Alligator mississippiensis: one gene and its partner. The protein of the gene in region 1 interacts with the protein of each later gene in a pairwise test. Links are inferred from orthologs where the notes say so. Each region holds a gene or a part of one and is shown in the gene's direction. Other genes may lie near its edges.

What was found.
Region 2: the proteins of FOXJ2 (region 1) and EGLN3 interact in binary tests that used the Homo sapiens proteins (3 or more experiments, as listed by UniProt). The two-hybrid records come from large-scale screens. The link is inferred for Alligator mississippiensis from reciprocal best matches to the Homo sapiens genes FOXJ2 and EGLN3.

The regions. Positions count from the first base shown.
Region 1 is NC_081827.1:148,063,384-148,069,581, forward strand, and holds the start of FOXJ2 (forkhead box protein J2), read left to right. Parts: upstream 1-2,786; 5' UTR 2,787-3,516; intron 3,517-6,198.
Region 2 is NC_081825.1:255,769,783-255,775,980, reverse strand, and holds the start of EGLN3 (prolyl hydroxylase EGLN3), read left to right. Parts: upstream 1-1,528; 5' UTR 1,529-1,573; coding exon 1,574-2,125; intron 2,126-6,198. UniProt on the Homo sapiens protein: Prolyl hydroxylase that mediates hydroxylation of proline residues in target proteins, such as PKM, TELO2, ATF4 and HIF1A. Target proteins are preferentially recognized via a LXXLAP motif.

The DNA.
Region 1 (6,198 bases):
ACCCATTAATGCTTTCCAGAACAATGATGCCCCTGCTCATCTTCCCACTAGGGTTTAACATGTTGAAATCTGGAATGATTTATGTCCCAACCAAATAATTACACTGGTGCAACAGGGAGAATGGTGGCATATGCACAACCCCTTGGAGGGGGGAAAATGGGGAAGGGAAATGAGGAACACAGTTTCTGGCAGGGGGGAAAGGTGTCTCACAGAGGACTGACTGTGGGGAGAGGGGGATGGAAGGACAATCAGAGCCATGGGGAATGGGAGGAAAGGGGCTGTACTCAGCTGCTGAAGAACATTGGGACAACAATATATAGGGAATGGGGTGTGTACAGAAGTCTGTATGCTGGGGATAGAATGGAGTGGGAGCACACAGAGTCCTGTCACAGGGTGCAGAGACTGGGAGCCCTGGTATAGGGTGAGGAATAGGGCCACTGGAGTCTTGGAGAGGTGGGGAAGAGGGAGAAAGGAGGGAAGCAGGGAAGGTGAATGGCTGGTGCGGGGGAAAGCAGGAATAGGACAGACAGAACCACTGGGTGTGACATACCGGATGGGAAATGAAGAAAATTATTCAATAAATGGCCCACAGACCCTGAGAGAGATCCCCACCTCCCCTATAATGACAGTATTCACTTTTAATTACCATTAGCCTTCCTTCTGAATTTACCTGAAAGCTGCCATAAGATTGCCAATGTGCACCTACGTGTTGCCCAGCCGCATGCCAGCCTGAAACTCCCACATGGGATGGGAGAGATTTATACAAACGGAGAGCACTTGCAGGGACAGCACGGCAGGGTGTGGGAGACTATGGCACAGATATGCATGGGGGAATTAGCTGGCAGCGCCAAGGATGAGAACACCACAGTGAAAAGGTGCTTATGCCATGATCAAAGAGAGATTTCTTTGGGTTTTGCACCACCAGGGTAAGGGTGAGAGATTGTGGCAGAGGTTTGTCAGAGAATATTATCAGATGGTTTGGAGAGGGGTTGGGGGGATGATTATACAGTGAGAAGCTGCCACACAACCCTCCACCAGGTGGAGGGGAACCAAAGGGGTGCAGTTATCACCTAAAGCTACCAGCAGGCATGAGGGGAAACATGTTTCAGGCATTGTACCTGGCAGTCATACAAGAGGATTGTTTTAAAGATTAAAAATAGGTTGAAGTCAAGGTAGCTGTGTACCTTATAGACTGACTGAGTCAAAGATACATATGTTTTTGTAAGCCCGGTTTAGCTCACGAGACCTTTCTTGCTTTGGGCAGGGACTTGGACTAGATGACCTCCTGAGGTCCCTTCCAGCCCTGCTTCTCTAGGACAGGGGTTTCCAACCCCCAGGCCGCAAAGGGTTGGCATCCAGTCCACAGGAGGGTTGTCTGCTGAACTGGAAGTCTGGAAGTGACCGGTATACTGTGGACCGGCAGCCAACCCTTTTTTATACTGAGAATTAAAAAGGGTTAGCTGCTGGCCTGCAGCATGCCGGTCACTGCTGGTCCACTTTTTGCCGGTCCACACCCACATCCAGTCCAGTTTGCTGATCCACAGCATAAAAAGGTTGGGAACCCCTGCTCTAGGATTTCTGTTCAATTTTGTTAACAGAGTCAAGGACTGTATTAAAATGGGGCTGAGTGAAACGTACTGGTACTACCGAAGACAGACGAGAAGGATGAGAAAGAAATGGCAGACCTCACATGGTGGAGAGGGGTCTGGCATCAACTTTTTCAGGGGGGGCCCTCTGAGGAGCGCAGTGGCTGGGGGTATGGAGATGGGTGTGCGGTGCAAACTGTGTAATGGGGTTTTTTTACATCAAGAACTTGGTAAACCGCTGCTCACTGGGGCACCCCTGGGGAAGACCAGGAGCAATGGATACAAACTCCTGGAAGGCTGCTTCAGGCTCAATTCCAGGAAAAACTCCTTCACAGTCAGTGGAATAAACTCCGGTGGTGGTGCAGTCGCCTACCCTGGAAATCATCAGGAGAAGACTGGACAGTCACCTTGCTGGGGTCACTTGACCCGTTGTCTTTTCCTGCCTAGTGCAGGGGGGCTGGACCCGATGTTCTACAAGGTCCCTTCCAGCCCCTAACAACTATGAATGGTTTAACTGTTGGAGTGTGCTTTGATCTGCGTGCCAAGATCATAGATCTTTAACAGACCAAATCATGCCAAGTGAACTGCAGGGGCTGCATGGCACAGTGTTGGAGGTGCAGTTTTATATATACATATATATATATACATATATACACACACACACACACACACACACACACACACACACACACACATATTTTTGCGCACACAAAAAAAACAGTAAAAAATTCATCAGTCTATAAGGTGCACCTCCACCCAGCCTTCTGCCCGGCTTCAGCCTCAGGGGGCTCACTTTGTCTCTAAGAAGGGGCCAGACGGGTCGTCCGCGCGTGGCCCACAGGATGCAGGGGCCGCGCGGGTTTCCTCCTGGGGCTCCAGCTGGGAGAAGGGCGTCTGGAAGAGCTTGTCCGAGCAGGGTCAGGGGGATGACGCCCGCGTCCCCTCCCTGCGCTTCACCCCGGGGCCCTGCTGTGTCCGGGCTGGTCTGCACTCCGCGGGGGGGGGAATGACACTGAGGGGTTTGGGCCGGGGACGCATCCCTTGGAGGAGGCTGTGGGGCGAGCTAAAGCCCACGCACGAGCCTCGCACCGTGGCCGCGCTGCCGGTGGGGGGGCCGAAGCGCCTCCTTAAGGCGGGGGCGGCGGGGGGCGGAGCGGGCCGGGGCGGAGCCGGGGCCTGCAGTGGAGCCGCAGCCCGGAGCCGCCGGCGGTAGCAGTGGCGGGGCCTGCACGGATCAGCGCCGCCCGCGCCCCCGGCCCAGCCCGCGGCCCGACAGGCGGCGGCGGAGGCGGCCCCAGGCCCTCCCTCGCGCCCGCCTCCCTGCTCCTCGCCCTCCTCCCGCCGCCAGCCGGGCCTGGGCCCGGGCCCGAGCCCGAGCCCGAGCCCGAGCCCCCGGCCGGGTAGTGGGGATCGGCCCCCGCCCCGGGGCCGCGGTGCTGCCCCGCCATTATTTACTTGACAGCTGCCTCGGCCCCCCCTGCCGCGGCCGGAGGAGGTAAGGGGGCAACCCCTGCCCACGCCTGCCCTGGCGCGGGGAGCCGGGCGGCCCCGGCCTAGCCTCGATTTTTCTTCTCTCCCCCTCAAGAGAGGCTTGTCCAAGGGGAAAGGAAAGCGCGAGAAGAGGCCATCTCCTGGGAGCGCCACCCCTGAAATAGCTGGTGGCTAAAAGGGGAGACGGGAGAGGAGGCTCCTTTGCGTCCTAGGATAATGCCAGGGACTTGAGGGGGGGCTGGCGACCCTTTTTTGCCCCTCAGGGTTTCTGGTTTCATCCGCCGCCCCTCCAGCCTCCCTGCGTGTCTGGAGGAAGAGTGTGGGATAGCTGGTGGCGGCGCCCCTGGGATGGGGCCCAGCAGAGGAGCGTGAAGGGCTGCCCCCCAAAAAGCCAGCGCTGGACACCAGCCCCCTCCCTGCAGACAATCTTCCAGACAGAGTGAGTGACCACATGACATCACCTTTCGCTCCCCCCTGCCTCTTCTTCCCTTTCCCCTTCTCCTGTCTCTTGCCCTTTTTCCTCCTCATGGCCTTCCCATGTCTTTTCTGTCTGGCCTTCTTGGTATTTTTTCCTTTTCTCCATCTTCTCTGTCTCCTTGTTTCTGAACCCTGCTTCCCCTCCCCTCCCCATTTCTCTTTCTCCATATGCCTTTTCCAGCTCTGTCACTAATCGTCATCTTGTATTTGTTATAAAGAGTTGTGCTGATTTCTCTTTCCAAGCGAATTGCTTCTGGGGCACCATAGTGCCCCCCCCAAATTGCAACAAGCCTTCTGTCTTTTTCCCCTTCCACTTTCTCAGAAGGCTGTATTGACTTTCTCCTGCGCTCACCTTTCATCATTACTCACATTAAATGAATTTCTATCATCCAGAGGTCAATGGGGAAGATCACATTGACTGAACAAGCTTTGGAGAGGCAGGGTGAATGCTAGTGCCTATGCCCTGAGCTGTGTGTCATGCTGCACTCATGGGGTTGTGGGTGTGAATCTTGGCCTCATTGCCTGGGGTGTGGATTGTGCTGTGCTTGGGTGGCTGGGGGTGCACATGAATCCTGGTGCTAGAGCCCTAGGACGCTGAGGAGCTGAGCTTGCAAATCTCAGAGCTACTAGTACTTTGGGACGTGGAGCCCTCTGCACTTGGGGGCTAAGGGTTTGAGTGGTGGTCTTGCCTGTGGGTCCTATTGGGCATGGGGTCTAAGACGGGGAATCCTAGTAGTGTGGGTGGAAGCCTTTTTGAAAGCTCAGGGGATCTGTTCCATCACTATTATCAATCCTATGTTGCTCCCTCTGGGTGAAGAGTCATGGGGAGCAGACCTTCAGTGCATGGGACAGTTAAATGCCACACCAAGTGAGCTCTGACACCAGGACAGCCCAGCCGTCCTCCCCCCACCTCCCAGTAAGCATAGTTGCCCTGGGTCATTCATTGGGAAATCTGGTCAAAGGGAGACTTCACCAGGGAGGAAGTGAATGTAGGTCCTGTGAGCAGATGCTCCGCCCCAAATACTTTGTCGCTCACCTGAGAGCTCTCTTTCTGTATTCAACACTAGTGCAGACTTCATTATGGCATGTCACTCCCCTGAGACAATTCTGAGGAAATCCAAGACCGGAGTATCCCTAGCCCTGACAAATACTGGCTCAGTATCCAGAAAGGGACTGCATAGTGAAAGGGAAATTCCAGAATGAGGATCAAGGGGGATTTCTTGGTGTGGCTGGGCAGGAAACTCAGGCCGTGGAATACCAGGTGCCCCCAAGGTGACAGCCCCTTCTGCCATGGCATTTTGCCCTCCCTCTTCTCCGTAGCATGGCACAGTGGTTTGTCCAGAGAGAGCCTGAACCCATAACGCATGTTTTCTAGATGTGCTGTCAGATGCCCTCCCACCTGTTGCCCTCTGGTTATGCAATCGGACTGTTTTGAGTAGAGGCATGTTATCTAGTGCTAGGAAGGAGATAACTGAGGCATTTTGGCCTTTGCACATTCAAGGGGGTTTGCTAGCTTTTCCTGCTCTCGGGGTTAATTTACCTTCCTCTGCCTTCACTCTCACAATAATGACTTGACATTTTTCTAGTGTCTTTGGTTCTGATGGATGCCAAAGCACTTGCAGAATGCATATACCACCCTTGCAGAAGTCTGCTCCCCCCCCCCCCAGCACATATATTTTTTTATGGGTGTATAACATTATTGTAATTTAATATTTTTCTCAGTTGTCATAATGAAAGACCAGAGTTTAAATTTTTGTGCCTGGGCTTTAAATATTCATGACAAAGATGCAAAGCTGATTGTGGTGCGTTGTGTGTGTGTAATTGTTTGTTGTTTGTACAGTAATCACTAAAGGAGTGTATTCAGTGCTATTTCAAGCACAAAAATTAAAGCAATCTCTGCCCTAAAGAGCTTGCAATTTGAAAGACAGACTAGCAGAAGCCAGGAGATGCTGGTAAACTGAGAAGAGGGGATAACCTTAGAGGTGCATGGTGCACATGAATTGTTACTTGGGTCTGAAATGCAGCTGCCTCTGAGGTGGAATGCTGCAGCCATCCTGCCCCAGCGATGGGATATAAAGGTGCTAATAGAAGGGAAAGGGAAGAAGGTTATGTATTTCCATAAATATGAAAGTCTTCACAGGCAAATTTAAATCTTTGCCTATAGGAGTTTTGGCTAAGACTTTCCTAAAATATAGATTTTGAATCCTTATTCAGACACTTAAATTGGTGACCCTGATTCTCCAAAGAACTCTGCAGCTCTTGATTGACTTTGGGGAGAGCTGGGTGATGCTCACCATTTTGAAAATGAGGCCATTTATTTAATTGCCCAAATATTGATTTAGAAGTTTAAATTCAGGCACTCAGGATAGCAAATCTTGGCTTTGCAGTATAAGCAATCCAATCTCTTTGAATGCCCTCAACTCCTGAGGAAGTCAGTGGGGGTCTGAGGATACACAGCACTCTTCTGGGTCAGGCCCTAAATAAGATTAAATGAGAGGGTCTGGAGAGGAGTAGAAGGAGGATTATGCTGTTGTGGTTCTGTGGTAGAACTTTTTGCCTGCTTTGTGGAAGACCTGGGTTCAATTCCCTGCTGTGTATAAACCTGCTGTTTTGGTTCAGTGGTAGAATTCATGCCTGCCTTCCT
Region 2 (6,198 bases), on another chromosome or scaffold:
GCAATCATGTCCATCTTATTCGCAAAAATCCTGAAATAGATCCTCAGCACATTTTAAGAAAGAATCCTTTAAGTATTCTCCATCTGTAAAACTCTTGCCTTGCTGAGCTATATTTAGAGCTGCAATGTAACTTGCCTGTGTGGAGAAAGTATTTCTAGTTGCACAACTAGAAAAGCTGGCTGTCTGCTTTTTAAACGAATCAACGCTTTTCTAACGGATTCATGTTCGTCTGCTTCATTGACTCCAGAAGATTTGGCTTTGTGCTTGGTTGCAAAATGGCGCAGGACACTGGAAGCATGAGATACCACACTTCCGCTGTACAGACTACAAATACAATCCCCTTGCTGCACAAAACCATACAATTCTCTCCAAGCCAGATGAAACTTTTGAATATCTAACTTTGGTTTGTGTGAACTTCAGGAAATTTTACAGTTGGAAGGCACATAGATACATAACCATGGAAGGCAAAAAAAAAACCCAACAAAGGCAGCACAAACATTGTAAACAGAAAGCAGGAAAATCAGAAAGAATTGAATAATTTGAACGGTGTGTAAATCTGGGTAAGTATTTCCAAGACGACAAGCAGAGTAGCAGAAAAGCACACAAAGAAGTGAGCAATATGAAGTGTTTAAATCTAGGAATGCAAAGTAGAGAGAGCAAAATAACTGAACAGGAACTGTTTCAATAAAGTAAAAAACCTGAAAAACATGAACTGGTTTAAGAGAACGACAAACTGAATAAGAAATTACTTAAAAGAGCAACATACGCTGAATAATATGAACTGTTCTGAGTGAGCAAAAGCTGAATATGAATCGATTTAACAGAGCAAAATAAACTGATTAATGTGGAAAGGGCAACAGCTGAACATGAACTGGTTAATATGGAGAGAGCAAAAGCTGAACAGGAATCGATTTAACAGAGCAAAGTAAACTGAAGGGTACAAACTAGTTAGAGAGAGAGCAAAAGCTGAATCTGAAATAATTTTACAAACCAAAATAAACTAAATAATACCCGACCTTCAAATCTTAGCAGGAATCGCCACCAAGGGGCGTAGCCCGGAGGCACGTGCTGGCCTCATGCAGCAGCGGCGGAGGAGCAGAGCCGAGCCGAGCCGAGCCGCGCCGGTCCCTGCCCCCCGGCCGCGAGCAGCACCGCGGGCACGGCCAGGCGCGCGGCTGCACGTGCCCTCTGGGCGGAGGCGACAGGGTTGTGATGCCCCCGCCATGCCATGCCCTGCCCTGCCCCGCGGCGCGCCTGCCGTTGCCTCCAGCACGGAGCTGATGCCGGGCCCTGGGCTGCTCGGCTCGCTGCGGGTGCCCAGAGCCCGGGCGGGCTGCGATCAGCCGCGCCGACCCCGGGGGGGGGGGGGGTACAGCCACCCCAACATCTGCTTCCAGTGGAGGGCCGGGCTCCGCCCTCCCCGCGCAGCCGAGCCCCGAGGCTGAGGAGCCGGGGAGCCCGGCCCACTGCGAGCCCGGCCCCCGGAAGGGGCTGGCGCCCACGCCTCTGCGGGTTCTAGTTCGCGGGGGCCCGCCCGGGAGCAGGTTAGTGCCGGGCGGGCGCAGCCGGGCAGATGGCGGGAGGGGCGGGCGCTGCGCCGCCTCAGGGCTCTTCCCCGCCGCCCGCTCCGTGCAGACTGCGGCAGCCCGGGCCACGCGCGCCTCGGGGAGGGCGGCCGGGGCGGGGGCGGGGCCGGAGGCGGCATCGGTCCGGCGGCTCCGCGGCCGCCCGCGTGCCGGGCAAGATGGCCTCGCGTGCCCTGCTGTGGCACGCGTGCCGGGGGCTGCCCATCCCCGACCTGGAGAAGATCGCCTTGGACTACATCGTGCCCTGCCTGCACGACATCGGCTTCTGCTACCTGGACAATTTCCTGGGCGAGGTGGTGGGGGACTGCGTGCTGGAGCGCGTGAAGCAGATGCACTACAGCGGGGAGCTGCAGGATGGGCAGCTGGCCGGCCAGAGACACGGCATCGCCAGGCGGCACTTGAGGGGAGACCAGATCAAGTGGATCGGAGGCACGGAGGAAGGGTGCGAGGCCATCAACTTCCTCCTGTCCCTGATAGACAGGCTGGTGATGTATTGTGGCACCAGGCTGGGCAACTACTATGTCAAGGAGAGGTCCAAGGTAAGAGACTTGCTGTGGTTGAATTTGGGGTCGTTTCCTAAGGGCTTCATGTCTGTACGGGTTCTACCACCGAGTTGCACGTTCCTGATATCCTAACACCTGGCACCTCTCAACTCCCCAAACTGCTCCCAGGACTTGGCATCAATTTACCTTTTACTCATCTGTTTAAAAGACATAGCAGGTGACAGTGCTTACTGCAGCAAAAAAGGCTTCATTTGCCTTTGAAGCATAGTTTATGTATCTGCTGCCAGATGCAGGAGTAGAGTATGTTATTGTTTATAAACAGTTCCTGGATCCTTCGCTTAACCCAGCAGCACAGAAGTCGGGGCAAATTGAGAAGCATGTTCCAAGTTAAGCTGTAGAGAGGAATGAATGGAGATTTTTTTTAAAGTTGTAAAGTAAAGGACACTCAACAGCTGTTACTGTTCTCTTCCTCCCCAATGTCGTGTCTTTTGGGCAGTGGTGTTTAGAAGATGATCGGAAGACAGGCTCCCAGGCTGCTCATATTGTTTATAAAGAAGTGATGAGGTTAATCCTAAACTTATGCATGTGTGTACCCACAGAGACCACTTCACAGCTGAGTAAATAAACAAATGTACATAGTAATTAATTAACTAATTCCTAGTGAGAAGTGACTTGAGCCTGGATGAAGGCAGACAAGGATCTTTGGGTAAATCTGATATATTTTATTAGACCAGCTCAAATAGTTGGAAAAATTCTTCTTTGTGCTTGGGGGTCATAAGCTGAATGAATACTTTCCCCAATTTGATCCAAAGGGGAAGCTGTATTCACTTACAAGTTTATGGTGGTCATTTAAGATAAAGTCGACTAATAATGTATTTCTTCTAATACTTCCACTGGAAGGGCTGGCAAAATGCAGGTAAATGCTGACGAACTAATCATAATAGACTAAAGTACTCTGGTATGAGCTGCTTGTTTATTTTAACCCTTTGTCCGCAGCTGGCTATCACAGGTGTTTTTTAGCAGTTTGGTAAAGGTGAGTAGAAAGAGGGAGTTACCAATGTCCACTTGTGCTTGTCCACTGTTAAAACATGTTTGGTTTTGTTTGCAACATTTCATTCATATGGTAGTATTAATCCAGTGAGCTTCAGTCTCCATCCTCATGTCAACTATTTCAGAACTAAAGAATATTGTAATAGCTGTTAGCCTTGCCGTTAGAAGTATGAAAAGAAAGATACTTTGCTCTTGTTTAAGGGCATGCCAGAATTTCTTTGTGAAGAATGTGTTAAAAAGTTGCTACTTGAAATTCATTTCCCAGTCAATTTATCTGACCTTTAGTTCAGTCAGTTGGAAAATGTTGCTTTTATCCTCTGCACCTGTATGGAAATGACATTACCCTCTGTTACTAATTGTTGAAAAATTCCCCATAGTTCTTATCCGATTTTCATGGTTGGCAAACAATCTGAATTATACGTTCTCTTCTAGGTTTCCATTTATGTTTCCTCTTTCTGTGATGTAACTGTTAGAGCACTGAAAGTTGCATGATTCTTAAAATACCAGGCAAGAGCTTTGGGGCAGTTGCACTTCAAATTTTATTCTAATCTCAGTGTTTTCCTCCAGGTTTTAGGAAAGGGGATAGAGGAGGGATGGAAAGACCTTGAACAGTTAGCAGGGTATGTAAAGAGAACTTTTATGAATCCTTATTAATTGTTTCTTTTGGCATTATCTTAAACTAACCGGGGCATGTGGGAGTGGGGAATGATGATGTTTCTCAGCAGTGAGGGAGAGGGAATGAAATATTAGCTGTGGTGGGACTTAGCTGTTTCTCAGGTTTTTGGGAATATCCTGAAAAGTTGGCAAATACTAGTCAAGAGACCAGCCCTGTTAGTCTCAAATCAAGTAGAAGTCAATAGTTGTTGAATCATTAACCCTATATTGAGCGAATCATTCCTTTAAGCTGAAGAGCTGGATGGATTTGGGACACAGTGCGTGAGCCATCTTGTAGTGTCAGTTATTGTACATATTCCCAAGTGCCTGCCTCGCTAGTATGGGTAGGTATGGTGGTACCTTGTTGGCCACTAGGAGGAAGAAAAAGGGGATTTGCACTAAAGCAAGAGACAGACACCCACAGGGGAGATTGTCATCACATTCACCTAACTGCATACAAGGAGAACACCTACATTAGATGTAGCTTGTTGCATTGATCTGGAACAGACTTCTGGGACTTACCTTGGGCTGTGGAAGGTTGGGGGGGGGTTAAACCAAACTGTGGTATTCCTACAGCCTTCAATGTTTGAGAGTTATACTTGTTGTTATAATAACACATGTTAACAATAATAGCTGACTCTAGATTTTTCTTCATCTAGTAAAATTATCACATTTTACAAGTGGCTATGGAAATATTGCTATGAACAGATTTCTGTAGCTGTGTAGTGGTAACTGAACACTTGTGTGTGGAAGGTGACAGACTTCAAAGTAGCAGTGCAAAGAAAAGCTACACACTAGTATGGGGACTAAAAGGAAAGAGTATGGTATTTGAATTAAAATACACAGAGAATTTCTATTGGAAACTACCAAGAGCTAGCACCCTTATTATGGAAAAAATATCCCATTGAATTTTTGGTGATTACAGGTAGCTATTTTACATATCTATTGCAAGATGAAACCTAGAGCAAAACAGTGCCCCCTAGTATTATAGAAAGTTAGTGACCAACAGGGAAGACTCCCTCCAGCTTTGAATAAACTTTGTGTATAACTCAGCTTCCTATCCTGTATAGGTGTTTCTTGGAAGTTTCCTATCCAAGCACTAAGCTGGTCCATCTGGTCAGGACATCTGGTAACCTAATAAATAACAAGTGTAATTCCTTTAAAGTAAATAAGGTTTGACTTATTTGCTAGATTTTATCCTCATTTCAAATATGTGTAATTTTTTGGAGGTAGTAAAACTTTTAATAACTTAGTTTGAGTTTTTTTATCATTAGATTCAAGAGCTTTTCAGTTTGATACGCATTGTTCTAACTGTCTTGGTGATTACTTGATTTTTTATTTTTTTTTGTCAGATAATGGGGACAGAGAGGTGGGGGCTAATAACAATCAAGAACAGTTTGTTTATTTAAGATGTAAACTTTTGACTACCTGAGGAAGTATTCTGGCCATGGAAGTCACATCTGAGTAACATTGACTGATTTACTTGGCTGAGGTCTACTCTTTAAAATGACACATTGCTAAATTTATAGCATGTTCAGTTAAACATTAGCCTGGAATATTGGCAGAGAAAGGATTTGCTTAGTGTCTTAACTTTCCTGGTTCTATGAGCTGCCATTTGGTCAGTGTAATATGTATAACTATGGATTCCATAAAGGGCATAACAAGAATGACTCTTGTATAATACTGGTAACTTTTCCCTTGTATTTCTGGGGGGGATCAGAGTGGTATGGGGGGGGGGGGGGGCATGGGGATGCTTAAGTAATGGCACAACTGCCAAAAAGTTTCCCCACTACTTGTTAAAAGAAGAGGGTAACCATGACCCTTGCCCATTTCTTTGAAAGAAAGGGTTGTAGGTACCTACCTTCCAGAGAGGGCTGGGATTAAGACATATCTTTGTCCCCAGTGTTTTGTGTTGCCTGGTTCTAGGCAGCTTCCTGCTTTGAATGGGATCTGAAACAGCCAGCACCTGATTCTCCTCCATGCATTGTATAGGGAGCATATGTGGCCCCATAGGCCACATCTCCACAAGCAGTGGCATGTGGTTGCTGCAGGGAAAAAAAACAGTGGCACAAATTCATGCTGCTGCTTTTTGCCCCGGTGCACACCCCTGCATGCGGGGTTAGCGAAGGGGAACATGCTCCTGGTGGAGTAGAGGAAGCTGGGGCCAGCACCTGGGCTGGCCCCAGCAGCATTATCTGTGGTCCTCCTGAGGCTCCAGTGGTGGCGGTGTGCGTATGTTTTGGGCGGCACATGCTGCTTCCATGTACTCCACCCCACTTTATTTCTGTTCACTTATACACCAGAATTTCTCAGTATTTAAACCAAATCACATACGCAGGGTGCATTTTTGCGGTGCCTCAAGCCTTTGAGAGACCTCAAAATTCATGTGTGTGCTCACGGTGATG